Linked DNA regions of Diceros bicornis minor. The protein of the gene in region 4 interacts with the protein of the main gene of each other region in a biochemical or structural test. Links are inferred from orthologs where the notes say so. Each region holds a gene or a part of one and is shown on either strand. Other genes may lie near its edges. The genes, in order: FYB1, HRAS, ENO1 and FYN.

Evidence for each region.
Region 1: the proteins of FYN (region 4) and FYB1 form a complex in vitro, tested with the Homo sapiens proteins (2 studies listed by BioGRID and IntAct). The link is inferred for Diceros bicornis minor from reciprocal best matches to the Homo sapiens genes FYN and FYB1.
Region 2: the proteins of FYN (region 4) and HRAS form a complex in vitro, tested with the Homo sapiens proteins (2 studies listed by BioGRID and IntAct). The link is inferred for Diceros bicornis minor from reciprocal best matches to the Homo sapiens genes FYN and HRAS.
Region 3: of the proteins of FYN (region 4) and ENO1, one has a biochemical effect on the other in vitro, tested with the Homo sapiens proteins (2 studies listed by BioGRID). The link is inferred for Diceros bicornis minor from reciprocal best matches to the Homo sapiens genes FYN and ENO1.

What each region holds. Positions count from the first base shown.
Region 1 is NC_080759.1:30,291,620-30,299,633, forward strand, and holds the start of FYB1 (FYN-binding protein 1), read left to right. Parts: upstream 1-5,005; 5' UTR 5,006-5,059; coding exon 5,060-5,062; intron 5,063-8,014. UniProt on the Homo sapiens protein: Acts as an adapter protein of the FYN and LCP2 signaling cascades in T-cells. May play a role in linking T-cell signaling to remodeling of the actin cytoskeleton. Modulates the expression of IL2. Involved in platelet activation.
Region 2 is NC_080770.1:1,447,770-1,454,848, reverse strand, and holds the start of HRAS (GTPase HRas), read right to left. Parts: upstream 3,019-7,079; 5' UTR 2,500-3,018; intron 1,088-2,499; exon of another isoform or gene 1,019-1,087; intron 1-1,018. Other genes in the region: LRRC56 (leucine-rich repeat-containing protein 56), read left to right, coding at 5,774-5,956. UniProt on the Homo sapiens protein: Involved in the activation of Ras protein signal transduction. Ras proteins bind GDP/GTP and possess intrinsic GTPase activity.
Region 3 is NC_080752.1:28,557,633-28,565,182, forward strand, and holds the start of ENO1 (alpha-enolase), read right to left. Parts: upstream 3,019-7,550; 5' UTR 2,939-3,018; intron 601-2,938; 5' UTR 592-600; coding exon 507-591; intron 1-506. UniProt on the Homo sapiens protein: Glycolytic enzyme the catalyzes the conversion of 2-phosphoglycerate to phosphoenolpyruvate. In addition to glycolysis, involved in various processes such as growth control, hypoxia tolerance and allergic responses.
Region 4 is NC_080762.1:23,592,148-23,599,330, reverse strand, and holds the start of FYN (tyrosine-protein kinase Fyn), read right to left. Parts: upstream 3,013-7,183; 5' UTR 2,940-3,012; intron 1-2,939. UniProt on the Homo sapiens protein: Non-receptor tyrosine-protein kinase that plays a role in many biological processes including regulation of cell growth and survival, cell adhesion, integrin-mediated signaling, cytoskeletal remodeling, cell motility, immune response and axon guidance.

The DNA.
Region 1 (8,014 bases), on a different chromosome or scaffold from region 4:
GCAAATTATCATTAACAAATTGTCAAGAGTAATGACCAATCCAATGAGATTGTGTGTTTTTTGTTTTGCTTTGTTTTGTTTTTTGGTGAGGAAGATTCACCCTGAGCTAGCATCCATGCCACTCGTCCTCTAGATTTTAGTATGTGGCTGTCAGCATAGCATAGCTGCTGACAGAATGGTGTAGGTCCATGCCTGGGAACTGAACCCAGGCTGCTGAAGCAGAGGGCACTAAATTTAACCACTAGGCCACCGGGGCTGGCCCTGAGGGTGTGTATTTTGATGATATCAGTTAAATCTCATTGTCTTGGACACCCAGTGAGATAGAAGTATTATAACTTGAATTCTGCTTCTGAGAAGAATATACAAGGACTGAAGAGGTGGGAAGCCATGGGAAGAGAATAGCAAAAGCCGTAAGAAGAAAATATCAAGACTCAGCAGACTCCTGGAAAGCCTTATGAGTCCCCCAAAACCCAAGAGAGGGTAAGATACAAATTACAGCCAAAATAGCAAAAGAAAGTGATAAATAAATGGCAAGCAGTAGGATATATTGGAGCAAATGAGGAAGCCATTTGGTGTCAAACTAATTTGGCCTGAGCTCGTTTTTCCAAAAGGGCCTGTGGCCTTTGAACTTGCATTGCATATCTGCTTTAAGCAATTAACATGTCCCCAAAACGAGAACAAATGCCCTTAAGATAATGATGCAACTTCTCCCACATTAGCCTTTCCTTAAGGTTAAGCATTTCTCCCTAGGCTAGGATTTGATTGCTGTGCTCAGCCTGTGACCACCCAACTTGAGACAGCAGACCTGCTATCTGCTGTGTCCATCAATCGCTGTGCCAGCAGGGCAATCTCATGACTATCATAAAAGGGATGGTGCAATCATATATGATATATGCTCTTTGATGGTATATAACTGCTCTGTACACTTGGGGAAGGAAGGCTCCAGGTTATATGGTCCTCAAATTTGGCTTATAATAAGCTCACCCCAATTTTGATTTATAGATTGATTATTGATTATTTGCATTGACAAAAATAATAGGTAAATTAATATATAACATAGAATTCTTCTATAAGCTTTGTTCTTTGTCTCTTTGCTCTTCAAGTTAATTGGACTGATAAAAGACTCCTTAAGTGAAGTTTAGATTCTTTCTTCATTGTCCTATTTCAGCAGTTCTTTTAGAGTTTAGTAAACATTTGCCTGGGGTTGGGTTTAAATTGTAAAGACAATTGTTCCTCACCCTTCTTGAGTTTAGATACAATTTACTCATCCCATAGAAATACAGTGTGAACTCTCCTTTTAGTGGAATTTTTTACTGAAGTTGATTAAAGTTACTTCTTCCTGAGCACTGAGGTTCTGAAAGGGTTAAGGCCTCCTTCCATCAAAAATAAAAATTACAAGAGTGAAAAAAAATCTATTTTGTTTTCAAAACAAAAAGTGAAAGAGAAATAAGCCAAATCCAGGAACTGCCCATTTCCTCCCACATGACCTTTTCAAGCATGCCTGTTCTTATCCTGCTTTCTTCCTGCTACTTTCCATTTGGCTGTTCCATATCTATCCAAGCAGGGAGAATAGAATTTCCTTGAATTTCTATGAATCTATTTTGTGAGTTTGAGTTGATCTTGGCTGGCACAGTTCAAATGCATGTTGATAAAAAGAGACAAGTTGACAAAATAATAAAGTTTTAGCTGACCCGTTTCCTAGTCTGGAAACTTCAGGCGTCACTTAATATTTCTGCTTTCATTTCATCATCGCAGAACAGCAATGTGGTGGCCATATCCTAGTGTTTGACAATATTATAGCCAAGAGTTCTCCTACAGCTTCCCATAAATGATGGGCTTCAAGGGAGGCTGTACACTTGCGGAATTTGTATGCAAATCGTATCTGCTTTCATCAGATTTTGAAAGGAACTCATGAGCCAAAAAAAATTTAAAAAAATAAAAGCTGCTTTAGGATCTTAGAGTGACAGAAGAAAATATGAAAATTAATTTGAACTGGAGGAATTTCAAATCTAGTTAAGGAGACAAACCTAATGCAGCCGATACAACGGGAGAACCATAAAAGGCAAGCATATCAAAGAACTTCATTTCAGTTGTTCAGTCTGCAGGAGTCCAGAAAAATGGGGAGATGAGTGAGCAAGCAGCAGAGAAGGCTTCCTGGAAGAGGTGAGACTCAACATCCCCTCTGTTCTCCTATCTCACGGATCTTGTCCTGGCGTGTTAGTATTGGGCACATAAAGTAGCTGATGATTTGCTTCTTCCCTAAAATGTTAACCATTCAGGTTATGAAGCTGAAATTGTGTAAGAGTTTATAAGTATTTCTAACTCTCTATGCTAACAATTTTAACCATGCTCCTTTTAATGCCTGATAGATAAAACACTGACAATGCTTTTAAATAATGATCAGTAAGTAATGTTACTTAACTTTTTATTTGTTCTATCTCCTATCTTCTTGTAAATCAACTTAAAAAAAAAAGGAAGCTGGTTTTTGTAAGCTACTCAGTATCTCTGGGCCTCACAGTCATCACCTAGTTGTCACCTTCAATGAACATCAGAGGGGCAGACTCATTGCCTAAACAAAAGCAGTGTTCTAGAATGCAAATTTATAAAAAGAAAATGCATGCCCAAGTATTTAAAGAATTCTAACCACTTTAGCATTCTCTGAGCTACTTCTCCCACCCACTAGCAGAAATAATTGCAGCGCCCATACCACAAAAATATAACTTTATCTTCTTTAGATGGTATCACTATATTGTCTGTCATCTTTATTGCATTTCCTGTTTCATTATCCTGCTCAAGGACTGATGTACTTAGTTGGCTTCACAGGAAATGTACTCACATATGTGATATTTGAAATATATTTTTTTAAAAGTAAAGTGATTATGCTCCAAAAAATAAAAATAAAAACTTGTTGGTGGATTATGAGTTATGGTTGGAAGCTTCAGTCCTTACTTGTTTTTTCTTAGCCAAAAATACTTCTCTTAAATATATGTTTTTGAGAGACTGCTGAATTTATGTCAATAATAACTAAAAATTACCTTAATCTGCATTTAGAAATAAGCACAAATTGAAACAGAATTCAAATGAATGAATAGAAATTCGAAGTTCTCTTAACCAGAGACTTGTCCAATTGTCTACATTGGTAATAGAAATTGCTAGATTTCTATTTATCATGTAATTTTTGTCCAACTGGACAAAATTTACAGAGAGAAAATCATTGAAAGACCAAGAATAAGTAATTATTATGTAGTGCATGGTGAAAATATGTTGTTAAACTTAGTAGTAATGATGTCAGAGCATCAGGATGATTTGTCCCTGCAAGGCTTGCCTGGTGATCTGTTTACTGTCTCCGTAGTACGAGTCACCTGCTCCTCCTTTTAGAGCCCAAGCTTGCCTGCCCCTTGGAATTACCTGGGAAACTTTGAAATGTACTGACGCCTGGGTCTCACACCTAGAGATTTTGATTTAAAGGTCTGGGATAAAGACTGGGAACTGGGATTTTTAAAAGCTTCCTAGGTGATTTTAATGTGCAGCCAAGCTGAGAACCACCACTCTAGCCCCTAAACTGTACCTGCACTGTGATAATCTCTGCCCCAGCAGATAGTGGATAAGAGGCTTTCTGGCTAAGCTAAAGAATGTCTCCATTCCAAGGACTTCTTCCGGCAAGTGTTTTAAATCTAAAAGCATGTCTGGTTGCCGTACCCGCCTTGCCTTGATCATCCTCCCCCATTCATTCCTTAAGCGTTTACTATGTGCCAGATCCCACGCAATTTCAGATTCCTCATGACCCACCTGGCTCCTGATTGCTCCTCAAGCCCATCCCTCTTTCAAATGCCTACAGGTCTCAAAGAATTATCAGGTTCCTTTCCACCACTGGAACATGCCCCCTGCTCTGTCTTCCTGCCTTGTCCTGGCAATGATTCTACCCATATCTCTAATCACATCTTGATTTTGAAAAACATTTTCATTTTAAAGAATGAATAATAAGGAACATCATTTTTAGTAAAGGATTTTGTATTATTACAGTGGTAATTAGCATCAGCTCGGCATCAAGCGAAGAAATTTGGTGCCCCTCTACTAGGTAAAGGCAGTAGTCCTTACAAGATCTAGAAATTTGCAACCCCAAAATAAGGAATCAGTTGCCTTTCCTTTGCAATAGGAAAGAAAGATGATTTTCTGCCCTTGAAATTACTTTAGTATCAGGCCATATATTCAAAATAAAGGAGATAATTCCGTGTACCAGAATATGTTCAAAGAGGTACTACGGATGATTGGTGTGAAATCTGACTACTGGGGATCAAATACCATGCCCTTAATATCTCCTTCATCAATGTGAGAGACTGAGGCATCTGATGCTAACAAATATTACCAAAAAGTTAATTGACATGTACTTTATATTTTCAATGAAGTGAATGACATCCTATCATAAGCTTATGAATATTGCCACTATTTAAATGTTGATGAGATAGATTTAAATACATTTGGAATTGTTGATTAAAATTATCATGATCCTTCTGTTCATTTTAAGATTATAGTGATGTTTTTAACAAGTACTATGTACTTAAAATAGAAAAGTCAAAAAGTCAGCAAAGTACAAAACAAGAATTATTTGTAATAATATCTCCATCCAAGTCAACCACTGTTAACATTTTAGAATGGGTCCTTCATTCATAGATAGATAGATAGATAGATAGATAGATAGATAGAAGATAGGTCCACAAATACCGATTTTGTAGAAAACAGGTTAATAACGCACATAGAATTTAATATCCAGGCACTTTTTAAAAAATTGTGTTAATCTTGCAGACTTCAAAGCATCACCTGTACCTGTTCTCATATGATTAAAGTGTGATAACTGGATAAACCTGGCCAGGTATACAAATGCTCTGCGGGCTGAGATAATATGCAAATAATCCTTACATATCAATGTGTGAAAGCTGGACAGACCACACAGTTCAAAAAAGGAAGTACGCTCTGCAAAACTAACTTGCACATTCACTGTCCGAGTTACAGCATCTTCGAGGTCGCTGTGTGCCAGGCATATCAACTCTTTTCAAAAAAAATGGTAAGTAATAGATTTTATGACTTTCCCTGGTCTGGCAAACATCTAACCTTCTCTACACGGAGCAGAGAGGGGTGGGGGGTGCTACACTGCCAGGTCCTCCCAGCGTTTGGAATTTTTCTTCTTCCCATTGTTCCATTTGCTAATGAAGCTGCTGAGTCTATCACAGCAGTTGCAAGACTATGGCTTCAGGAGTTCCCTTTTTTGTTCGAAGCCTTCAGAACTGAGGAAGAGCTATGCCTTAGAGAAAGAAAAGTTGTATTCTTTGTCTTTGCCTCTTGAGATAACTGGATGCCAGAACCAGCAGTCAAGTTTCCTGTTCCGAGCACTTTGGATCCCAGAAGAGAACTCCAGTGATATACGTGGGGCAGTATTGCTGATGATGAGAGCCATTTTGACAACACAGTACATTTTACAAAGGAGCTCTTTTGTTTAAAAAATTCATTTCATTATTTTAATTAAGAGAAGCAAACAAAGCCCAAATAGTCCAAACCTTAAGGACGGGTTGTGTTCCCAAAGTTAATTGAAAGTCATTATCTGGAGCACACTTAAAATAGTGACTGGTTTCCCAGTTCCCATAAAAACTAGCTTAACTCATAATGTAGCTGAACTACAGTGTTAATATTCTGCTACACAATTTCATATTCTTTCTCTGTAGAAACTGGCTGTGTTCTTCTACATGCAGTGTTCTTATGCTCCCAGAGTCTAGAAGAGAGCCAACTTTTATCTCCCACACTCCCTCCCCCACTCCCCAGCCCCTAGAAGACTGGAGACGGGTTATCCTTTCTCTCCTTGTAGAGAGGATTACTTCCTTTGCCAGTTCCCAGTGAGAAGATAGCATTGAGACAATGACTCCTACAGGGACTCAGTGGGGGAGGGTGTGTGTTGCAGACAGTGGAATCGAGAGGGCAAAGGATTCATGGGATGTGTTTGTAGTCTGGAAGCTCTTAAACCAGAATGGGGAAAGTGTAGAGGTGAGGATAACCTTGCCATGGGGGAGAGAGGGAGAAGGGGGAGAGATGGGGTCAGAGTTGCAGAGTCACAGGGGAGAGGAATGCACAGTGGTGGAGGAAATTGTAGCACATGACCCTTCCTGTAGCCACATCTGTAAGAGGAAGGCAGCCATCTGTTAAGGTGGGACTTACAAGTCCCTCTAGTGTCTCCAAACTGGGTCTTTAGGTCCAGAATTCTTAGCAAACAGCTTGACCTTAATTACTGATATCATCTTCAAAAGTAAACAAGGGCACTGTGGTTTACAAAGAGTTATTTGGATTTTCTTAAGGAAAATGAGATGATCATAGCAGAAAAAAAAAGTTTAACTGAATAGGGTATGTTTGGTAATACGTAAGCAATGTTTTCTTAAGAGCTCGTCATCTTGTTATAAAACTAGCACATATTATTAAAGAAAATTTCTTAAAAATATAGATATGCAGAAACAAAACAATACACATTTTCTATAGTTCCATCACCTAGGGGGCAATCATTGTTAATACAGATCCTTCTAGAATTTCATCATTTTTAAGTATATTTTATAAATATAATTTTCTATAAGTGCTATCATACTTTATAAACCATTTCCTTATCTGATTTTTTATGTAAAACATTTTGAATAATATATGAGTTAGATATCATTTCTAATGATAAGTCATTCTTAATGACTATGTAGTTTTTCCATAATTTAATTTAATCAGTTCCATATAGTTAGACATTTAGGTTTCATATTTTATTTTTCTTTCTGTATGGTACTACGACAAGACTGTCACAAGCGTTCTTTTATATACAGTGCCTGATTATTTTCCATTGACAGAACTACTAGGAGAAGAGCTAAGTGAAAAATACATCTATTTAAGATTTTAAACACAGATATCCTCTTGTTAAACAATATATTTCAAGTTTACTTACTATATAGTGGCATGGTAAGTGAATTTCCCAGTTGCAATTATGTATATACATGCTTATCTTTGTAGCATGTCCAAGTTATACTTAAAGAGGAAGCAGATTTCCCTTAATTTTTCTCTCCCCAGCATTGCTTCTGACATTTCTATGACAGGTTGTGAAAGGCATGTAGCATATTAAGAAAGGTGTTTTCTCCTTGAAAGGCTTCATAGCACAGTCAAAAGGCCATGTGCCTGGCTCCTTAGGCTTTGCTTACCAGTTGTATGTTTTTTTCACAAGTCCCTTAAGCTCTGAGTTTGTTTCCTTATCCAATAGTGGTGACATGATGATGATGCTGATAGTTACTGTGGAACAGTGTCGTTGTAGAGGGTAAATAAGATTGCAATTATAAAGTACCTACTATAGTGCAGGCACCAACCGGATACTGGATAAATATTGGTGTCCGTCGTTCTAGTCCTCAAAAAATAATTTCCTAAGGAGGCATAGAGACTTCCAGTGAACACAGGAGGAGAATGATAATGGCAGTTAACATTTGTGAGCCCTGACATACACTGTCTCGTTTAGTCCCCATAACAACCCTTACGAATCGTGACTGCTCTTATTCCTATTTTCTCGCTGAGTACACTGAGTCTTGGAAACGGTTAAGTCACTTGCTCACAGTCACACAACTATTAAATATTGGGACTGGAATTTGAGCACAACTCTGTCTGATCTCAGAGCCTGAACTTTTCTACCTTATGCTGCATCTGAGAAAAAGTAGGTACAGAGGAAGACAACAGCGTAGTCCAAGAAAAGCCCAGGCCTGGCTTTTAGGAGTACGAGGGGCCTTTCCTCAGGCTGGTGCCCGTCCCTGTTGGATTTGGGAATCAGCTGCGTAGCTGCTTCTGCTACTGCCACTATGAATTGTCCTATTTTTAGAATGCTCACTTTATTGAAATCTTCTAGAAGCCACTGGGATGGGAGGCTGGAGGAGTTCCTGGCTTTGAAGTTCTCTACCCCAGGGTTCAGAAAGAGGGACTAAATGATCAAATGGCTCCCCCCTCCCCCAAGCTCACCTGC
Region 2 (7,079 bases), on a different chromosome or scaffold from region 4:
TGACCGTGTGGGAGAGGCAGGGAGCTGACCCCCAAAAGCAGGGTGACAGCCGAGAGCATCTCCCAACCACGCACCCAAATTAGAAGCTGCTGGGTAGGCAGAAAGCCTGAGTGGAGGCGCCCGCGGTTGAGGTTACCAGTCCCCCTCCCTACTAGAACAGGTCTTGTCACCGTGGAGCGCACAGCAGCGTGCCCAGGCAGGCCAGTGCCAGCCAACACCGGGCTCCAGGCCCCACTGGGCATGCTGGTGCATTCGACAAGTATTCACTGGGCACCTACTGCATGCCAGGTGCTGTTCCAGGCACGAGGTGACAGGCAGACAGAAGGAACCCCTGCCCTCCTGGGCTCAACCTCCATCCCAAGGAGGAGGAGACCCACACACGTTAAAATGAAGGAGACCCCAGGGGCATTCTATGGCCATAAAAACTTTGGAGAAAATAAGGTAGCTAAAGAGGCCAGGTGGGGGCCAGCGTTCCCATAAGCAGAAGCTGACCAACAGGAAAGACCCACAGCAGGTGTGGGAGCCGGGGGACAGGTGAGGAAGAAGAAAGGCCTGGGACCCAGGCCCCCAGCTGGGGTGTCCTCAGTTTGTGATGTTTAACGAGAGGGTGCCCTTGAGGGGACAGTGGGCAGTGACTTCCTAAACCCAGACTCGCCTAGTGTGCGTGATGGCCACCGGGTAAAGAGGTGTTCCGAAGGGTCCTGGGGCCTCTGGCGGGCGGGAGACCCGGCGTAGCGCCCTGGCCCTAGGCCGGCCTCAGCTCAGGGCCCCCACACATCCCGAGGGCCCCATGGAGGACAGGGCCGGGGACACGGCGCCCAGGAGCTGATCTGGGCCAGGCAGGGGGAACCCGCCGCCGGCACGCCCAGCACCCCCGCCGCCGCCGCCGCCGCGGCCCACCTGCGCCCCCGCGCGCCCGGTCAGGACAGCGGGCTCCCCACCCCGCCCGGCCCCGCCTGGCCCCCCGCCCCAACTCCAGCGCCCAGCGCCGCAGCCCCGCAGCCCCCGCCGCACTCACCGCTCACGGGCGCGACTGCCCCCGGAGCCGGGGCTCGCCGCTCGCCCGGCGCATGGGGTCACGCCGCGGCGGGTGCGGCGCGGGCTGCGGGCGGCGGTCGCGGGCGGAGGACTCTCGGTTGGGCCCGCGCACGCCCCGCCCCGCGCCCGTCCGTCAGCCCGGCGCAGCCTGCCATTGGCCGCGCGCGGCGGTCTCCGCCCAAAATTCGCCCCGCCCTGCCGCGCTCTGCTCCGGTTGGCCGAGCGGCCCGCCCGTCAAGGGCCGCGGCCGGGCGGGGCTTCCGGGAGCGGCGCTGAGGGCGGTGCCCGGCCGGGTGGCCCTCGTGGGCCGCGGCCTTGGGGGATAGCTCGGTCGGCGCCGGAGGCGAGTGAGGGGCCTGGGGTTGCAAGCCGGGGGTGACCGCTTCTCCGGGGATGGCCTGGACTTTCCTGGGAGCAGGCCGGACTCGCGGGGAGATAGAGACCCCACGCAGAAGCGGGTCTGCGGCCAGGTGTGGACTTGGGCGGGGTCGCCGGGGTCAGCCTCGAGCCCCTGCGCTGCTCCGGGAGCCCCGCGCCGGGCTCCTCGGCACCTCGCTGACGCGCAGGCGCTCCCGCGCCCCCCGAGGCCTGCCCCGCGCCGCGCCCTGCCGCCCACCCACGGGGGCCCGGAGCGGGAGGGACAGGCTGGGTGGACCCCACAGGCCTAGCACCGCGCACGCCCCCGGGCTTGAGGTGGAGGAAGGCAGGGGGCCTCAGGGACGAGGGTCTGGTGCCAGAAGCAGGCCCGAACCGCGCTGGAATTCTGGGACCCCCAGTGGCTGGGGACCTGGCTGCCCTGCATCCCCTTCCCCGCAGGTGGCTCCGAGACGGACGCCATCTCCCCCAGGGCGCCTGGCAGCCTCGGGGGGGGTCCTTCGTTGCGGCCCAGCCGTGCGCCCAGGGCCCGGCGGTGCGGGGGCGCCGCGTCTGAGTGGGTGCGTCTGAGCCCGTGGATCAGCGAGTCTGACTCCATCTTTTTACCCCGTGCCCGCGTCTTGCTTCTCACATACCCAGCGCGCAGCCCCGCCCAGGCTCCGAGGAGAGCCTTTTTCCAGCACCCCCTCACCACAAGCCTCCCCCGACTTGGGCAGGCCCAGCAGACTACCGGCCCACCCAGCTCCCCCCCAAACCCGGGGGTTCCAACCCTGCAGAAGCTCACCGTCTGGCCCAGTTAACAAACGGTACCCAGCAAAGCCAATCCAAAAGTTGCCATGGGGGGTGACCTGGAGTCTCCCCCCACCCCAAGCACAAACATGCACGTCCTGTCTCCTTTCAAGACTCTCGAAAAGATATGTTCTTGACATTTTAAAAAATTCCAAAGTAACGCATAAACACACCCTCCTTGTTTACAAGAAAGAATGGTGCATTACACAGAAGGCTGAACCTCCCTGTCCTCGGCCAGCACCCCCTCCCATCACCATCCTCTCCCCCGCCGGCTCGGTGCTGTCCCCTGGAGCTCACCCCACTGCTGACCGTGACCTTGGCGGGCCCCTTGTGGGCCGCCCTCGCTCCCACGACGGCGCCGACCCCACGGGCCGTGGCTGTGTCCTGTTGGCCGTCCCGCGCCCTGCACCGCGGCTACAACAGAGCCCGGCTCGCGCGTAGACACGCGCGTAGACACGAAGTAAAGGCGGATAAATGAAAACGGGTGATGGCGTTCCTTGCGGGTGCGGACACTCAGGACTCCTCTCCAGGTGTCCAGCTTCGCACTTCCCTCGTCCGCAGAGGATCCTCTCCTACGGCGCTTCCTCTTGTCGTGGCATCGGCTACACTTGCAGGCGGAGGTAAATCGCGCAGGGCCTGGGCCTCCGGGAAGACCCTCACACCGGCGCAGGAGGGCGAGGGCCTCCGGGAAGACCCTCACACGGGCGCCTCCCACCTGCGAAAGGCGGGCGCGCGTCTCCACCCCAGACCACTTTTGCAGGGGGCTGACACCTGGCCTGTCTGCGCCCCCCGGCTTGATGGCGTCTCACCTCCGCCCCAGCTTCCCTCCCAGCTGGCCGGGCGCCCACGCGCGTGCGGGGCCGCACCCGCCGGAGTCCCCAACCCTGCGCCGCTGCCCCGCCCCCGCCGGCCTGCCCTAGCAACCGTTGCTAAGAGGCGTGGCTCGGCCCCACGGGGCCTGCGAGATTCCCGCGGTGTATGAATATTTGATTATTCAAATAAAGCCCCGCCCCCGTTGTCATGGCGCCAGGCCCCGCAACCCCGCGGCCGGAAGAACACCCGGAGTCGGAGAGCGCCCGCCAGCGGCGGAGGGCGCCCAGGGCTGGGCACCGGGGCCGACCCCTCAGGTGAGAGCCCAGGGCATCTTGGGGCTCGGGCTGCAGGACTCGCTATCTCCCCCGTGCAGGAGGAGAAACTGAGGCCGAGGGGCGGGAGCGGGGATGAAGCAGCAAAGCCAGTGGGGACTCAGTGAGGCCCCCAGATGTCAAATCTCGTCCCCCGGGGACTCTGCCCACGCTCCCCGGCCGGGCTCTTCGGGGCTCCCAGTTACCAGGACAGGAAGGGCCCCAAGCCCTGCCTCTGGGGGAGAGAGGAGCAGGGTTCCAGACTCTGCTCTGGGGGTTCCTTGGTGAGGACCTAGGAGGGGAGCAGGCCCTCCCCACCGTGGTGAAGGGATGGAGGGGTGGAGGGGACCCAGAGAGTCCATGAGCGGGGCCAGAGGCTGTGGAGACAGAGAGGCCCCCAGGTTTCCATGCTGGGGGGCTTGGGGGACTCATGGAGGGGCAGGGCAGGGTGGGAGCAGAGCCATGAACAGAGTGGACAGGTTCCGCCCAGTGCATGAACGTGCAGGGACGGTGTCTAGATGGGAGCCACAGCCTCCAACCCAGGCCCTGTTCCTGGGACACCAAGACCTTCAGGCTTGAGTGGGCCGGTACATGGGTGAACCTCTGTCAGCTGCTCTCTGGGGGCACAGAGGGAAGAGGGCAGCAGACTCGGCCCTTATACTGCCCAGGGGTGTCCCAGGGCCGCACCCTGGCTGGCCCACACCCTCCCCATAGCCTGAGGCTGGCAGCGTGGGGTGGGCAGCATCTTCCCAGGGGGCAGGGCGATGGGGTCCTCCTGCGAGGCTTGGGGCCCTTCACCAACTGGAGAAAGGCAGGCAGCAGAGGGAACTTTTGGAAAGAAATCCTGCTGGAAACTCTAAGAGGCTCTACACTGGGAGCCACCTCACGGCCTTCACCCCATTGGATCTTCAGTGTATGGGTCACTCTCCGGACAAGGCCACTGAGGCACACGGAGCCTGGGCAGCTTGTCCCAGGGCCCAGCACCCTCTCCCACCGCCTCTGTCAAAACCCAGCTGACCACTCCCCTGGCCGTGGGGGGTGGGGTCTCTAGACATGATGGAGAGGATGAACCTTGAATGTCCACAGGGGGCTGAGAGATGAAAGTGGTGGCCAGAAGGTGCACCTGCCGCCTTCACGGATTCCTCCAGAGTATTTCAGAGCCTTTCATCTGCCCACTGTGGACACGGCAAGGGAGCATCCTGTCCACAAGCCCACATTGTCCCGGGGCGAGGCACTCACTCAACTGAATGAGTCGTAAAACACGAGGGTTGTAGAAGGGGTCAATCTTAGCAGGAAAGAAAATCCGGGAAGGGCGGGAGAGTGCAGAAGTGGGGTCAGTAAGGCCTCCACCCAGGATGGAGGGAGGTGGCCAGGACGTGCCGGGCAGACTTCTGGCTCTACCCCCAGCGATGACTCCAGGATCAGGGGCCAGGCACAGGCGTCTGCATCTTTAAGGAGCTACGCCAGGTGAGCCTGGTGCAGGTGGTCCGGGGACACACTGGACAACCTTCTCTGGGGCCTAGGGTCAGGGGACTCAGTAGGGACAGAGTGCCAAGGAGGCCGGCCTGTGGGAGACAGTCCAGAGCAGCAGACCCGGGATCACTTTTGGAGAGAGGGTGGAGTCGGGGATGGAAGGAAGGGGGGATTTGAATGAGGACCATTTGCAATGGAGAGACCCTGAGGGACCCCAGCATTGTTCACTCACCTGGCTGTCGTCCTGGTCAGCCGGGCCAGATCCCCCATCAGGATGGTGGAAAGGACCTGAGCCCCTACCACCTTCACACTTGCTCACTTCTGGGCCCTGTGACCTCAGCCCAGCCTGTCCCAGGTCCCCTGGGTACGGTGACCTGGCCAGGAGGCCAACCTGACTCTCTCCTGCAGGTGCCACCTGGGGCCACATGCCGCCCCCTTGCCCAGATGTTTGACCCACGGTGGGAAAAGGCAGCCCCCTCCAGGTGAGGGGGCTCAATGGGCACAAGGCTGGGGTGGGGGGCATGCCTGAGACCCTGGTCCTGGGCCCCCAGGCTCGGAGACCATCAGGTGGAGAAGGACGCACAGCACAGGGCCTGAGGCAGCTGCTTGCTGCTGGTGGCAGCAGGCCTCTGCGCAAACATGACCTGCAGCCAGCACCCCCAGGCTCACAGCCTACGTGGGGCCTCAGCTGGGGAGGCCTGGAGCCAGCACTCCTCGCATGGACCCTGAAGGATGGGCAGAAACACCGGGGGATGACTCGCCCAGGCAGAGGGTGTGCCAAAGCTCAGGGAGGGGACTGCAAGGCCCCCAGGCCAGCTGAGACTAAGTGGGTGAGGGCACCACCAGAGCCTTCTCCGGGCCCTGGGGGTGGGCTCTGGCAGCTTGCCATGGGTTGGGACGTGTCGAGGGCTCTGCGGGGGTCAGAAAGAGCAAAGGCTGAGCGGCCTTACCCTCTGCCTATCCTGGCAGGTCGAATGTGCATGGACCCGGCCTGGGACAGAGCCCGTGGGCCTCGGCCAAGCACAGCCAGTGTCCACGTGCAGGAGTTGAGCTGGCAGGGCCTGCACAACCCCTGCCCGCAGAGCAAGGCCCCGGGCAGCCATGGGGGTGGCCACAGCGAGCAGCTGGTGGAAGAGTGTCTGGCACCTGCCCGACTGGTGAGTGCTGGGGGCTGGGGGCTCAGACTGCAGGGCCCGTGTGGGGTGATGTTCTGGGACTGGCGTCCAGCCTGCCCTCTGTCCCCTGCCCTCCTAGCCTTGCCTGGCTGACAGATGCTCTCAGCCCTGCTGTGTCCCCTGCGCCTGCTCCACCTTCAAGGCCAATCCCAGGGGCTTGGCTACACAGACGTCTCCCAGGCATTCAGGCCACAGAAGGGACTGAGCCAGGCAGGAATTCCACAAGTGTTTGCTGAGCACCCACTGTGCGCTGGGCTCCGGGGACCCCTCGGTGCACCACTCCATGAACCAGAGAAGACGCCCCTCGTTCGAGCAGCTGAGGTTCTGGTGGGAGACGGGGTGGAAACCATCGAGGTGCACGGCACATGGAGGTGCAAAGGGCCGGGAATTGATGAAACCACGAGCAGAGTAGGGGAGCCCAGGCATGAGGGGCAAGCTGTTCAGGTGGGGGCCGTCCTGGGGTCCCACTGACAGTATCTGGGGCAGCTGGTGAAGGCTTTCTCCCAAATCTGGAGTGGGGGTTCGTTGTCACCCCCCACCCCCACCCTGAGGCCCAGCAGGTTCTGCAGAGCCCCCTTGACTACACTTCCCACCCTGTGACCCCACTGGGCAACCCTGCCCCTCCCAGCGTGGGAGGCCTTTCCCTTCCTGGCCACGCCCCTCGCCCGCCATTGGCCACCCTGAGGGGGCAGACCCCACCGGGTGCAGGCACCCCCCAGGCCCTCCCTCCGTGCCCCTCCAGTGCACCCAGGCTTGCACCAGGTGAGATGCACACAAAGAGGGGTCCCTTGGAGACCACGGGGTGACATGCCCACCAACACCCCCAACCGCCTTCCTGAGCACTTTGGAGAAGAGTCCGAGCCACCTGGTCCCTGCAGGTGGATGGAACACTCCCGCCAGGCCCCTCCCTATGCCCCTGCTGGCCCCTCTGTGTGTGGGGCCATCCAGCCACTCCTGCAGCACCTGCACCTTCCCAGTGCCCTGGTCCAGTGTGGAGCTGTCACATCAGGATGGGTCTGCCCACCAGCTCCTCGACAGCCCCGGCCACCAGCCCAGGGGACAGAGACAGGCACACAGCCATGGGCCACCTCCAGGCCAGCCAGCT
Region 3 (7,550 bases), on a different chromosome or scaffold from region 4:
GCACTTACAGCCAGGTAGAAATAAGAGCCTCTGGAACGTCCCAACACCCAAAGGTAAGAACTATCCCAGATCCCTGGTTTAAGAGTGATTCCTGGAAACAAAGATAAGAGTGCTATAATTACACTCGCACTTGCTTATCTCTTTCCTTTTCAAGAGAGAAAGATCCATCCTATCACACCATATCAGCTTAACTGGTCACAGCAAGCTGTGAAGCAAACCAGTGATGGGCCCTTTTAGGGACAAGGTATCGCCTTACTCCCCTACCTCACTGACCTAGGAGCCAACCTGGCTTGTTTTAAATACCAAGAAGCAGCAAGATAAGGACTCCCATGCCCTACAGCACCCCCACACTCCCCCAGCCAGGAAGCACAACCTACCAGCATGTGCCGATCAGAAAGAAAGGCTTTTACAGTAAGACTTTTCTTTGCCTAAGGCCGTCATTTTTAAAAAGTTTTAAAAAAATGGCATGTGGTGGAAGGAACTATAGTAACAAAGGTGGCACATACCTTTTGAGGTACAGAGATCAACCTCAACAGTGGGATTCCCACGAGAGTCGAAGATCTCTCTGGCATGGATCTTGAGGATAGACATGGCGAATTTCTGTGGGGAAACACAGATCATATTTTCCACAAACCATAATGCAGCCTCAGCTCATTCATTCAAGGCATCACTTCTGAGAACTCCTAGACTTGAAAGAATCTGCATTGGACTAAATACTGGATGTAGGAAGGCTAACTAGAGTGGGAGAGGGCCTGCTGGAAAGCAGGAGGAATTGCTCCTAAAAAAGTAGGTTGGGCCCAGCTCTACAAGGCCTTAATCCCCAGCAGTTCAGGTCTCGTCCTATAAGCAAAGCCTGAACATATATGACTGTACTGGGGAGCAATCAAATACAACGGGAAAGATTAACGTGTTGATGGCATACAGAATGGCTGAAGAGGAGGCAGTCTGAAAACCGGTTATTGTCATTAGTTAACAATGAGGGTTGGCATGGCAATGGAAAAAGACCAAGGGGACATGAAGGTCCCAGGCAAACCCATCTAAGATAAAAAAGGTGGGGTGGGGAGGGAACCAGGAGGAAAATTTGGTTTGTAGTGAAATAGTGAATTAAAAGATGGGGACATAATTCATCAAGTTAAACTTGAGGTAGCAGTAGGATGTTCAACTGGTAGATATTAGATAATTAGAAATTTTCAGTTTGGAGGCCAGGAGTGAGCTCCTTGGTCTGTGCACTGTGATCTTTGCCACTGCCAATTTCCAGGGCTTTCCAACCGCACAGTACTTGAGTCTTTAGCAAGACAGGACACGTTAATAATGACATCTAATTAGTATTTCTTTCAAAGGGCATTTTACTCCATTAAAAAACTCAACTATGAAATGTCATGATTTGTAACTAGAGGAAAGATTCTATTTTTGAAAATACTCCAAGGAAAGAAGCTTCCTTTGAAAACATCTCAAAAAAAAAAAAAAAAAAAAAAAAAAAGGTTTGCAGCTACAAAGTGCAAACAGCAAATTCTCAAAGAAAGGCCTTTTCCTTCCTTCTCCCACCGGCTCTCCAAGGAAGAAATGAATTGAACAACGTGTAGGACTGAAGTGGATGAGAGGAATTGAATTAGTGTTCAGAAGCCATTATCTAACTGGGCTCCCCCCCAATATCTTCTCTGGAATGTTCTGAAGCAGAAAATGGCATCATTTTTTTTTCTTTTTAAGTTTCAAAATTAGATGCTGAAGTCACTTTTGTGGCTTTATTTTCTATGTAACAATGGAGTTTTATTCATTAGCCAATAAAAAAATATCTAGTTTTTATCTACTATCTTACAAAAAGGCAAATTCAGTCAAACGTGTTTTTTAATTTTAGTTACCTTTGAGTTTTGGCAAATTATATACCTGTGTAACACATTTGTCACCCCAAGAAGTCCCCTCAGCCAGTTTCCAGTCAACCTCCCCCGCCCCAAACCAACTGTACTTGATGGATTTCAGATGCGCTTTAAAGCGCATCTTGATTACACTACCTCAGCATACAGCTATAGGAACTCATCTTTTATCTCATTTTAGTGACATAAGACAAAGTAATTAACTTATTTCATGATGTGAAAATAAAATCCAACTGATCTTTATATTGGATAGAAAAACTATTCTCCGAAGTCATTAAGGGTCAGGGAGAGGCTGGTCTGACCACACGGCTTCACCGCTTTTTGTGTGTCTGGACGGAACCCCGGACCACGAGCAGCATGAGTGGACCGGGCGGCCCGGGCCTAGGTGTGCCCTGGAGGCAAGTCAACCGACGGGCCACACAGCCCAGACCACGCTGCAGAGAGAGAGGTGAACAGGAAGTTTCCTCAAAGTACACCTTTTTTAGGTCAGATCAGGGGCCGACTGCTGGCGGCCAGCCAGGGGCGCCGGGAGCAGCTCGTGCCCGACCAGGGCGAGGTCGCCTGGACCGCTTCCCAGCGATCCCCTGGCTCAGCTGCAGCCACTCAAGAGTAAGCATCTTCTGGAGTTGTAGCCACTGCCCATGTCGGAGCAGCAGCTTCCTGGGCATCTCTCCTTTCCCTGCCCCTGCCTCGACTTTAGGGAGGGCCTGGCTTGCATGAGCACCGGGGTCAGGCCTGGACTGCTCCCCAGAACCTTCCCCTCTCCACGCCTGCTCTCTTAAGTGGCCTGCGCCTTCTGGTCCTGACCTCCCAGCACAGTTACGCGGCCCTGCAACTCCGTAGTCACTTGTTGAGCAGCACCCTCCCCTCCGGGAAAAGCAGGCGCCGCGCCCCGCCTCGGGCCGGGGTGCGCGACTCCGGCCGGGGACTCGGCTCGCACGCGCCGGCCCGCCCCTTCCACGTCCCCGCCGAAGCTCCGGGCACGCCGTCCGGGGAGCAGGAACCCCCAGAGGACCCCGCGCCGCCTGCCTGGGTGCGGGCTCGGCAGCCCTTCCCCGAGCACTCACCTAGCCGCCGGATGTCGCGCCCGGGAAGAAGCAGAGAGTGCTGCAGACACCGAGAGAAGCGTTAAGCCAAAAGGCCTGCGCGCTCCCAGTCCCCTGAGCTCGTCTCCGCGCCGCCCCTCCCGACTTCCTGCCCAGCTCGGGAGACCCCGCCCACTTCCCGCCCCCTGCGCGACGCCTCGCCATTGGCTCCCCGCGCCGTCACTCAGGGCCTCGCCTATGGCCGTCACGGCGGCGGGGACGGGGGGACGATGACCTGGGGGGATGGGGCGGGGCTGGGGGGCACCTACTGCACCGCGGCTGTGTGGGGGTGCGGGCGAGCCCCCTCCCCGCGGGGACTCCCTGGCCAAGCAGCGTCTGCGGCGCCGGGGCCCGGGGGCGGGGCGGGCTGGCCCGGCCGGCATGAGGGCTCGGGGCTTCGTCACGTACTCCGAGTCTTGCACGCACACAGCGTCGCTCCGCCGGCGCACGCCCGGCCCACGACCTTGGTGACGACCTTCGCGGCCCGCCCTGCCGGCCCTTCGCCCCCCTGCCCCGCAGCGTGGTGCCGGAGACCCCGTCGGCCTAGAGACGTTGGCGGCCGCGCGCCGCGACCCCGCTCCCGGGCCGCAGAGCCGCGTGCTGGGGGCCACGTGCGCCTTCCCGCGCCTGCGCGCTGCGCCCCGCCGCGCCCCCGGCCGCCCGCCGAGGTGACCCCGACCCTTTGTCCTTGTGCGCCGGTCAGACATGAGAGCCAGGTGGCTGAGAGGCAGTTCACTTTCCTTTAGTTACAGCTAATACTTTTTGAGCGCGGCCTGCGTGCCAGGCACATCTCCACGTGCGCCCCAGAGTTAATTCATTCAATAGCTCTTGTTAATGTTGCTTTTTGCAAGGAGGCTTAATATCCCTCGCTTTGCCCCCGGGGTAGATCAGATGTGCCTGGATGCATGTGAACCATCGTGTATAATGATTTGGACAGGAATTTCACACAGACCCGGGAGATTTCTCAAAGTTCAAACCAGATAATATTCCATGGTAGTCTGGCAAATGAAAACCAGGAAGGGGCGGCTGCAGTGATTTACCTTTCTGTTCAGGAGTTGATACTCATTTAAAATCAGTCCTGCAGCACATCCCCCGATCGCTTCCATTTCTATGACAGTTATATTTCTCAGCATTCGTCTTGGTCTGTAAGTCTGAGAGCTAAAACAGTGTCAGACATTGTTTTACATCTCCATATTTTCCACATTGCCTTGCATAGAGAGATTCAAATGTGTATTTGAATTTAATTCCTATTTCTTCTGGCTAGCTGCAAAAACTGTTTTTCTTCCTTCCCTCCTGGCATTTTTATCTCCCCACCTACTGGCTTAGGTTTCCAAGGCCTTGGGTAAAGGTGATGGTCTGTTGAGCCCACGGTATTTGTTCTCCGTTGACTAAGAAGCAGGAACTTTAGGATTAAATTCAGCAAAAAAGCAATAAGGAAATTGTAAAATATTTCACTGAAGAATTAGATGAATTTTGCAAGCAGAGTTGATGATTTCACCAGCAAGATGCTAATGTTTCAGACTGCTTAAAACCAAGATCCCAGCCCCATGACTCAGCAGCTAAACCAACAGCCAACATTTCCTAAACCTTAAGAACTTTACAGAAATCAGACACTTAGAGCTCTTATTTTCAGAGCAATTCTAAGGCGTGGCCCTGAAAGGGCTCCAAAACAATCTCTTTTATTTTACATTAAAAGGGTTAGAGAGATAAAGATAGAAAGACACGACTCTTCTAACTGCTCTCTGGCCAGAACCAGTGAATCGAGCAGGAAATCAGATGCAGAACATGATCTCAGACAGCTGCTGTCGCAAGATTCTGGGAGGCCACAGCACAGTGTTCTGCGCACTTTGACCTCAAATTGTAGCTCAAATGTTAATGATTGGTAGAGATGCCCTCAGGTCTTTCCCCAAATCCACAGGCTGCCAAATGCTTTTCCTGTCTCCACAGCTCCTGAGGCTTTGTTAACAGGTGTGGGGCTCACATTTGCCTGCACTCCAGTGCAGGGGCATTTACCTTGTTACAGCTGTTTTGTTATTATTTGTCACTCACAGTACAATTGTTGAGCAATTTCACCGCAGTGGCATACCAAAGGCACTTGCCTTGCTGGTGGGCAGGAAGAGGAAGTGAGTGTCCAAGGCTACTATCAGAAGACCACCTGGGGAAGCACTGCAGGTAGCGCCTGCAACACATTTGCAGGTGGGCACCAGGGTTGAGGGAAGGAGAATCTGCAGCATCCTCTGACCCGCCTGGGTTACAGATTCTGTCTGTGGGATGTGCACCCCTGGTTGAAAACTGCTGGTCGACTGAAAAAGTGACATGCCTCTTTGGAAGGTGGGTCTCTAGCCAGATAGGAAACTTCAGGGTTGAATAAGTGGCCCAAGGGAGGAAAGAGATCCTCTGAGAGCCGAAGGCCCTCAGGGGATGCAGGTGGATGGCCCCTCCTTGTGATCGTGAGGTTTGTGTTTGTCTGTCATCATTTCACATATGCCAAAGACTACATAAAGTGTATCTGGTGTAAAGAATAATAAATGAACGTCCGTGTACCCACCACCAGCTTAAGAAATGGGACACTGGCAATGCCAGTAAGGTCCCTTGTGTATTCTTAGGCCACAGAGGTGATCACTACCCTAAATTTTGTGTTTATTATTCCCTTGCTTTTCTTTATGGTTTTTAAATACAAATTTTGAACTTTGTATAAATGGCATCATGTTGTTTGTAGCCTTTTGCTAGAATTCTTTTTTTTGCTCAACTTGACATTTGTGAGCTCCATCCCTCTAGCTGTGGATGGTTGGTTTTCAGTGCTATATAGTATTCCATTGTGTGAATATCACACGTTTTCCTGTCAGTATACATTTGGATTGTTTCCTGGTTCTTTTTTTCTTGTTACCAACAATGCTGCTATGAACTTTGTTGCAAATGTCTTCTGAGCACAGGCAAGAGTTTCTCTAAGGCATATACCTAAATCATACACCTAGATGTGGAATTTCTAGGTCATGGGTATAAACATCTTCAACTTTGTTTTCTTTTTTTTTTTTTAATTTTTTAATTTTTTATTTTTTCCCCCGAAGCCCCAGTAGATAGTTGTATGTCACAGCTGCACATGCTTCCAGTTGCCGCATGTGGGACGCGGCCCCAGCATGGCCGGAGAAGCAGTGCATCGGTGCGCGCCCAGGATCTGAACCCGGGCCGCCAGCAGCGGAGCCCGCGCACCTAACCGCTAAGCCACGGGGCCGGCCCTCAACTTTGTTTTCTAAAGTATCTGTACCTCTATGCGCTTCCCCCAGCAGCCTATATGAGTTCTGACCCAGCTTTAAAAAGAATCAAATTCAGGGCTGGCCCCGTGGCTTAGCGGTTAAGTGCGCGTGCTCTGCTGCTGGCGGCCCGGGTTCGGATCCCGGTTGTGCACCGAGACACTGCTTCTCCGGCCATGCTGAGGCCGTGTCCCACATACAGCAACTAGAAGGATGTGCAGCTATGACATACAACTATCTACTGGGGCTTTGGGGGAGAAAAATTAATTAATTAAAAAAAAAATCAAATTCAGCTCTTCCCTTGCATTTTTTTCTAGAAATTTGATGGCTTCTCAATTTACCACCAAGTCCTTCACTTAAAGAAACCCACGTGTCCTCTCTGTAAACTGCAGTCAGCATTGTGCCTTTATGATGGCTTTGAGGGCACCTCTTAGGGCCTCCCACTGTCAACAGCCCCCTCCCCGCCATCTTCAAAGCTGACCTCACAAAGTCAGGAAGTAGGGATTGGGCAAGGCACACGTTTGGGAAGACAGAAGGGAGGCAGCACAGTATGGTTTTTAAACAAAGTCATTGCTAGAAGGGCATGTATCAGGGGTGCCCAAATGGGAGGAGTAAGTAGTAGGGGGATTAAAGAAAAAAAAAACCCAAGGAAGTCAGGGAAGCAAGGAGCAGGCACCCAGCGAGCAGAGATCTCCTTGGAGGAGCTAATGAATGAGGGAGCCAAGTGGAGACTGAGTGGGGCTCTGAACCAACAGGAGAAAATCAGAGGAAAGAGTCTGTATCTTGTGTCAAAGAGCTCTGCGTGGATCCTCTTGTGCCTGAGCTCATTTATCTTTGAAATGGGTGCAATAATACCAACCCCAGGAGGCAGTCTTGAGCTGTAACACCCCAGGTGGCTCCTATCATCAGTTTGGGAGTCATTACTGAATGCTAGAATGGAGGCCTGGAAGGCACTGATGTCTCTAAAATAGCAGGGGCAGTAGGTCCCCAGAGCAGTTTTCTTTTCATCTCTGTCTGTTCCCACCCATTCTGTCTCACAGTTCTTATGGTTGTCATTTGAAGAGGACCAGGGCGGCTGCAGCCGTGGGCCCAAGAAACCCTGATCTGCAGCCAAGAGAGGGCTCCCCCTGCCTGTCCGCTAGGCCGGCAGCACTGCTAGAGCAGGAGTGCAGGACCCTGCGATGGCCCCACTGCAAAATGCGGGTCACTGGAAGGAAGGAGCCGTCAGATGACACAGTGCGTGAGCTCCAGATGGAAAAGCAAGAGCCAAGTTCTCCTTTCAGAAGGCACTGGCCCCTTGTGATTCACTGAGAGTAGGGTTTTTGCAGAGGCTTTGCGTGGAC
Region 4 (7,183 bases):
TAAACTCATTGAGGGCAATGACTGTGCCTCGTTGAGTGGCAGCATAAGGCAAAGCTGCTGGCCAAAAATACATTTCTTCTTGACCTTTTTTCTGGTCACATGGCTAAACTATATTTCCCAGGCTCCCTTGCAGTTAAATGTGGCCATATAACTAGCCCTCATGTAAAGGATGTAAGTGGAAGTGACAGGTGTCATTTCCAGGCCAAGGCATTTAAAAAGTGGGTGCACCCCTCCACTCCCTCTTTTGTCCTTCTGCCAGCTGAAAGCTGGTTAAAATGGAGTGCTATGGGATGGTGGAGCATGGGGCCCAGAATCACTGCATGGAGGAAGGCCACCCACTGACCAGAAATACCCATTCTGGACTATTACATGAGGAATAATAAACCTCTTTTGCTTTTGAGCCATTAGATTTTTGCAGGCCTATTTGTTACAGCTTCTAACATTAGCCTCATTAATCTAGGAGCCTAGCACATACCAAGGACCTAAGTCACATTTGTGAAAACAAGATAAATAAGCCCAGGTTCCTTCTCTCAACGTGCTGACCAACTAATGATGGAAACAGACACAAGCCAAACAAGGCCTGCTGCTGAAGTTGGAAAACAAAGTCAGAGGCATGGTAATTTGTTTGGAGGGGAAAGGGTGGAGAAAGCATCACAGAGAAGACTTTTGAGCTGGGCCCTAAAGGTTAAATAGGACCCAAGCAAATCAGACGGGGTTGGAGATTCCAGACCCAGAGAAAGCATAGGGTAAAGGTACAGAAAGCAGAGTGTGCATTTGTTCACATTCAACCTTATCATTATGTCTCTTTAACTTGGTCAACATGAGTTTATCGTGCACTGACTTTCCTATCTTGGGTCTGGCATCAAACAAACAACCCTTTGTTTTTACAGTACACTCATCAACCCTATCGCTTTTTTTAATATAAAATGTTCCATGATGAATGTCCTTAGAAAGTGCAAAAGTAAACGTTTAATGAATCATAACAACTCTTTTCTAATAAAATTCTTGAAGAACAAACTTGAGACGGTTCTATTACTACTTATCGTAGTCAAGGAGCCACGCTCTTAAGAATCAATGACTTCAACCTTTGTCCTAAGTTTTGACATTATCGATTAAACATGTAATAGTCACTGGCTTGCAAAATGGAACATTAGGCCCCAGAATTACATTAACATTTCCTCTTTAAGAGGAACATCAAGCAGATGGTTTAAGAGTTCAGTCAAAAGATCGTGTATATCGTTTGCTCACAGCTAAGTGCCCCTAAAACCTGAGATGGCTAACAAATCACTTCCTCCAAAAATCTATGAGTCTCTTTAACTGAAAGCAGAGTACCCATGGGGCAGGGACTGGGGAAAAATGCACAAAGGGTGGAAAATATTGCAGTCACTTGAGCGGTGAGAGGAAAGGATGTGGGTGTCTGAAGCCTACCCTGAAGCAGGGAAGAGAAACCGTCTCCAGTGGTCTTCCAAATACCAATTTAATGATGTATTATCAATGCACCCAGGAACTTGTTTAAATATAAGGGCAAAACAACATCACTGGGCTGACAATTCATTTCAAAAGACTTGAGCAGTCCTTAGACTTGAGAGAAGCGAGTCAGGCTGCCTCACTCCTATCAAACACCAATTTAATTCGCTGATTCAGAAACAAAATTCTTCTGCTCCCACACCAATGTACCCTACCTCAGCTCTTAGTATCTATCCCTGAAAGGAGAGGGGGTTAAAACTGGGCGGAGTGGAGACTACCTTGAAAGTAAAGCAACTCTTATGACAGCTAGAATCATTTCCCCCTTAAATCTAAGGAACACTGCAGCTACCAGTCAACACTACCAGTCCATGAATACAGCAAAATGCCAGCACCTGCCACCCCGCATCTGGGGCCTTTTATTTTTTGGTAAATGTGGCAGGAAAGATTCTGAGAGAGAAGATCAACTGCTATATCTGAGAGAAAGGGAAAACGCAGGGAAGAGAAACAAGAAGCACAGCGCCCATCCTTGGGTACTTTGTGTGTCTCCTCTCTATGCACTGAAAGGGCTCTTTGTGTCACACACACACACACACACACACACACACACACGGCGAGTCTGTGTGATTTATGGGGGGAGGGGCAAGAAGGGTGATTTTATTATCCCTCTTCTCACTGAGTCCCAGCAAATCTCCGCCTGGGCCCAAGCTCGGTGGCTTCTTTCTGGCCCAGTCCCCTCCGCCTGTGGCCGCAGAGATAAGAGAGGGGAGGCGACCAAACAAAAACAGTCATCGATCTAGGGAAGTAGAGAGGAAATCCAGCGAGCAGGGAAGGGAGGAGAAAGGAGCCTGAGGGAGCAGAAGGGGTGGGGGGCAGAGGAAGAGGAGCGAAGGCTCCTGCACGGGGGACAGGGGAAGGGTGGGTGGGTGGAGGCACAGGAAGAGTGAAGGGGAGGATGGGGGAAGTGCAAGGGAGGTGCCAGAAATAGGCAGGAGGATGCAATGGGGAAGGCGACGGCCGCAGAAGGAGGCCGAGAGGTGGAGGAGTGGGGCAGGGGTGGGGTGCGGTGGGGAGGGAAGCAGCACGGGGCATCAATTATTAAGTGATTACATCATCCCTGACATTAAAACAACACACACAGCCCGGGTCCCCGCGGGGGGCCCCGAAAGGAGGGCGGGGGCGGAGTCTGGGGCAGCCTCGCCCCCAAGCCAATTCCCATTCTCATCCCGCGCCCGCTCGCGGCCGAGGAAATGGGTCCCCATCCCTGCGCTACCTCCGGGCCGCACCGCGCAGAGGTGTCCTCCAGCCCGGCCGCGGGAAGACTCCGAGCGCGGCCAACTCCCCGGCAGCCCCGCGGGGCGCCCTGGAGGCGGCGGCGGCCCAGAGACTGCAGCGCGGGGCCCCGCGGCGGGGGCGGCGGCCCGCGTCTCCGCAGCATCCCCGAGGCCTCCCGCGACGCATCCCCGGCCGCTTACCTGCACGGCGCTCAGGCTCCGGAGCCCATTCACATGGTCCTCTCCCCGCCCTGCTCCGGCGCGGCTGAGGCGGCTCCAGTGGCTCCTCGGCGGGCCCGGGAGCCGGTGGGCCTTCCGAGAGCGCCGAAGGGGCGGCGCCGGGTGTCCCCGGCCCGGCGGCCGGATCCCTCCCTGGCGCGGGCGGCGGCCGCCGGGCGGTGCAGCGCGGGCGGCGGCTTTGTGTGCGCCCGAGGAGCCCTCCGTGCGCGCGGTGAAGCGCCGCGCGCCGGGACGGCAGAGGACGCGGAGCTCCGAGGTAGCCTCGCCTCTGCTCCCGCGGCCAGCCGGCGGGCGGGTCTCAACGGCCTCCGGCTCGCGGCGACCCCTCCTCCTCTCCCGCGGCAGCCCCCTCCCCGCCGGCTCCGCTCCTGACAGATGGCGCAACTGCAACGACACGCCGCCGCCGCCGCGGCTGCTCGCAGCTACTCGCGCTGATGCTCCAGCCCCTCCAGCCCGGCGGAGAGTGAGGAGGGGGCGGGACGCACCCTGAGAGTGGCAGGCCCCGCTGCCCTATCAACGGGCCCCTCGGGAGCTGTGGGCGGTGACCATTGGTGTCTGGGACGGGGGCGGGGCTGCAATGGGTGGGGCCACCGAGTGGGCTGAGCGTTGCTGTAGCAGCGGGCATCCTGGCCCGCGTGCCCGTGTAGGGTGTGAGAGGGGATGCGAGGTTGGAGGAGTTGTGTGTGTGTTTTTGAGGATTGTATGGACTTGTGAGGTAGTGGGTTCGGGCGAGGGAAGGAGGAGAGAATATGAGCTGCAGTTTCTGCTTTGCAGAAGGTTGCAGCTGCCACTGCAGAAAGGCATCTGCCATTCTCCCCAAACCATGGGAACCTGCCTCGAGAAAGGGCTCTCTTGCCTTTCTGGTGTCTGACAGTGGGAGGAGAAATAGGGAAAGTGTTAGGGTGGTGAAAACGTTTTCTCTGATAAACTGAAGATTGCGGAGCAAGGTAGAATGCCATCTCAGAAACCTGGGAAAGTTAAGAGAACCCTGGAAACGCACGATTAATATTATTAATAATAATAAGGAGGAGGAGGAGGAAGAGAAAAAGCAGAGGAGGGAGAAGAGGAGAAAATTAGGATTAGTTTACTAGTCTCCTATTTTTGTGGACACACACACACATATATAATTATTTTCAAGCAAAAGTCTGGAGCAAGTGTTACTGAAATGGGAGGAAGAAGTTGGAGAGGACAGGCGGCCACTAAGGAATCTGCAATCATAGAACAGAGATTTGTTTGTATAGTTTTTTCCAAAATCATGTTTAATTGTAGCCATTGGTTGTCATTGGTTTCTCATGACACTCAGCCTTCTCATGTTTCTTCCTTTCACTGAATCTGAGCTTTTGCTCAGATTTTCCTTAGTGAAATAATAGCCAGTTTAGTATACAGTTGGGAGTGCATCAGTCTTTATTTCCTATCCAGCTTTTCTATGGCAGGATGTAACTTCATAAAAAGAAACACTTTGGCTTCCTGATTTTCTTTATAGGTAATTCCTGTTTACTGAAAGTTCTGCTTTAAGGCATGCTCAGATTAGTTCTCCTTAATGATTTTGGCACGAACCCTACCCTCCTCCCCCAGCAAGCCTAATGTTCTGAGAAATATAAGCAAGTTGGCTTCTGCTTCTATGCTCAAAATCTATATTACTTTTCCTGCCAACTAATTGTTTTAACTGTAGTTTAAAAATATCAGTCACTTTTGCTGACTTTTTTATTTTTGCACACAGTACTTTTTTTTTAATTGCTAACATTCATTAAACGATGCTCATTTTTATGGATGAGGAAACTGAGGACAAGAGAAGTTAGTAACTAAAACTCAATGTGATAGTATAGGGTAGTTACTGTGGCTTTTTTCCTCCTTAAGCAAAATGATAAATGAACATAGTCCCAAGAAATAGAACCACAACTAGGACTAGAAGATTTCCATAGAAGAGAATGTCAACTTCATCTAGTCAAGAATTGTTTATCTCAAGCGAAGGGGGTCGTCTTCTTCAGTACTAGCCTGCCATGGCTGTCCTAAGTTTATTTGAATTGAGATGGAAAGGCTCTTGTCTAGAGCAATGATTCTCAGACTTTAGCATGTATCGGAATTACCAGAAGGAACTTGTAAAACACTGATTGGTGGCCCCCAGCCCCAGAGTGTCTAATTCATTAGGTTTGGGATGGGGCCCAAGAATTTGCACTTCTAACAGTTCCCAGGTGATGCTGAAGCGGCTGGTCTGGGTACCACCAAAACCTTGAGAACCACTGGTTTGGAACCAGGCTGTCCAGTGTAGTAGCCACTAGTCACACATGGCTATTAAGTACTTGAAATGTAGTTGAGTATTTGAAATGTGGCTAGTGCAAATTGAGATTGGCTGTAAATGCAAAAGATTTATTGGATTTCAAAGATTTACCATGAAAAAAAGAAATGTAAAACATCTCATTAACTTTTATGTTGATTACATGTTAAGATGATAACAGTCAATGTATTGTGATAACTAAAATATATTATTAAAGTTAATCACCTATTTCTTTTAATTTTTAATGTAGCTAGAGAATTTAAAATAGCATATGTGGCTCACATTATATTTCTATTGGATAACACTGGTCTAGAGTTGTTTCTGATTCCAGCTCCACAGTGCACACTGTTGAGAGCACCTTGATGCAGCAAATCTCTTACCCTTTCTGGACTTTACTGTTCTCACACATAAAATGGAGATATAGTAAAACTGATCTCACACTACTTGTGTGAAGACTAAATGGACATGGAAGCAATTTATGCATGCCTTCCTCCTTTTTAAAGATAAACTGTCATGTACTCTCAGAAAAACCGCTCTTAAGATATAGACCTCCTCGGAATTCCGTGTTAGACGGAATTTATCTTACATGATATCTGGAGTAGGTTAGGTAAGGCACCTCACTGCTTATGGTTTCTTCAAGAGGAGTCACTTTTTAGCGTCTGTAACTCTAATAGCTTCTTGATCTAATTAGTGGGCAAAAAGAAGAGACAATGCAATTAAAATGACAGATTAACCTGCTCCCATCAAGACTTCATCCTGTTTTTGTAATTCTTTCCTTGCTTACCTTTTTATCTGTTGCCCTTCTTAAATGTAGCTTTAAATGGATTTGGCCTCCTCGGGAGGATTTGCTAATGGTCTGAACAAGTGTACAGAGTACTGTGAAAGATTTGGACACTCTTCCCCATTTTGATCTGCTATGCAGGTCTGTACAGAGACCTTGATTAAAGATCCAGGACACTGTCCCTGGACTCCTTGAGATAAGTCATATTGTCCTCTACATCCCCCCAATTTTGTTTTATTTTCTTATGGACAGGTTAAATGTACAAATTAGAAGGTAGGCATTGTTCTAGAATTTCTCTTTGATTTGACTAGTAATGGTTATTTTTATTTTTCTATTTCTTTCACCTTAAATTTTCCTATTTCCATCTGGGCTTTCTTTATTTTGTCTCAACTGAATTTCTTATTCTCTTGCTTTTAATGTAACATTTTCCTTGTTTGTATGAGTTAAAATATTTTCTTGCCTTATTATTACATTTTAGTTTTAATCTTCTCTTAAATGTCAATTCAATAACACCACATATGGCAAGGGTAAGAATCCTTAACATAGAGTTCTTAAAAATCAACAAGAAAATAAAGATGAAGACTCCAGTTGAAAAACACGTGTAAAGGAAATACATCCCCACATGACCAGTAAATGTGAAAAGAGATTCAGCTTCACTTGTAACAAAATTAATGTAAAGATATAGTTTTTCCAACTACCTAGTTGGCCAAAGACATAAAAGGATGTAGGGAAATGGATACCCACATTCTACTAGTGGGAGTGTTAATTAGTGTAACCCTTCTGGAAGACAATTTAATAACATTTATGAAAAGCCTTAAAGTATATACCTTTGACCCAGCAATTCTACTTCTGGGAAAGAATGGAAGAAGTTTGCAAAGATATACCTATGATGCAAGTAATTGGAACATTGTTTATAACATGAAAAATTGAGGAAAGTCCATTAATAAGGGATTTGGTGGATGGGAGCAGAAGGCCTTCAACCCTCCCAGCCCTGGCCAGGAGCCTCTCTGGATACCACCTCTGCGGCAAGTCTTCTTCAAAAGGGAAGAAAAACGGCAGAGAAGAGGAAGAGGAAGAGAAAAGGGAAAATTAAAGCAGCAAAGGAAGGAAAAAGCTTAAAGAGTTTTATTGTTTCTTCTGGAAAGATTT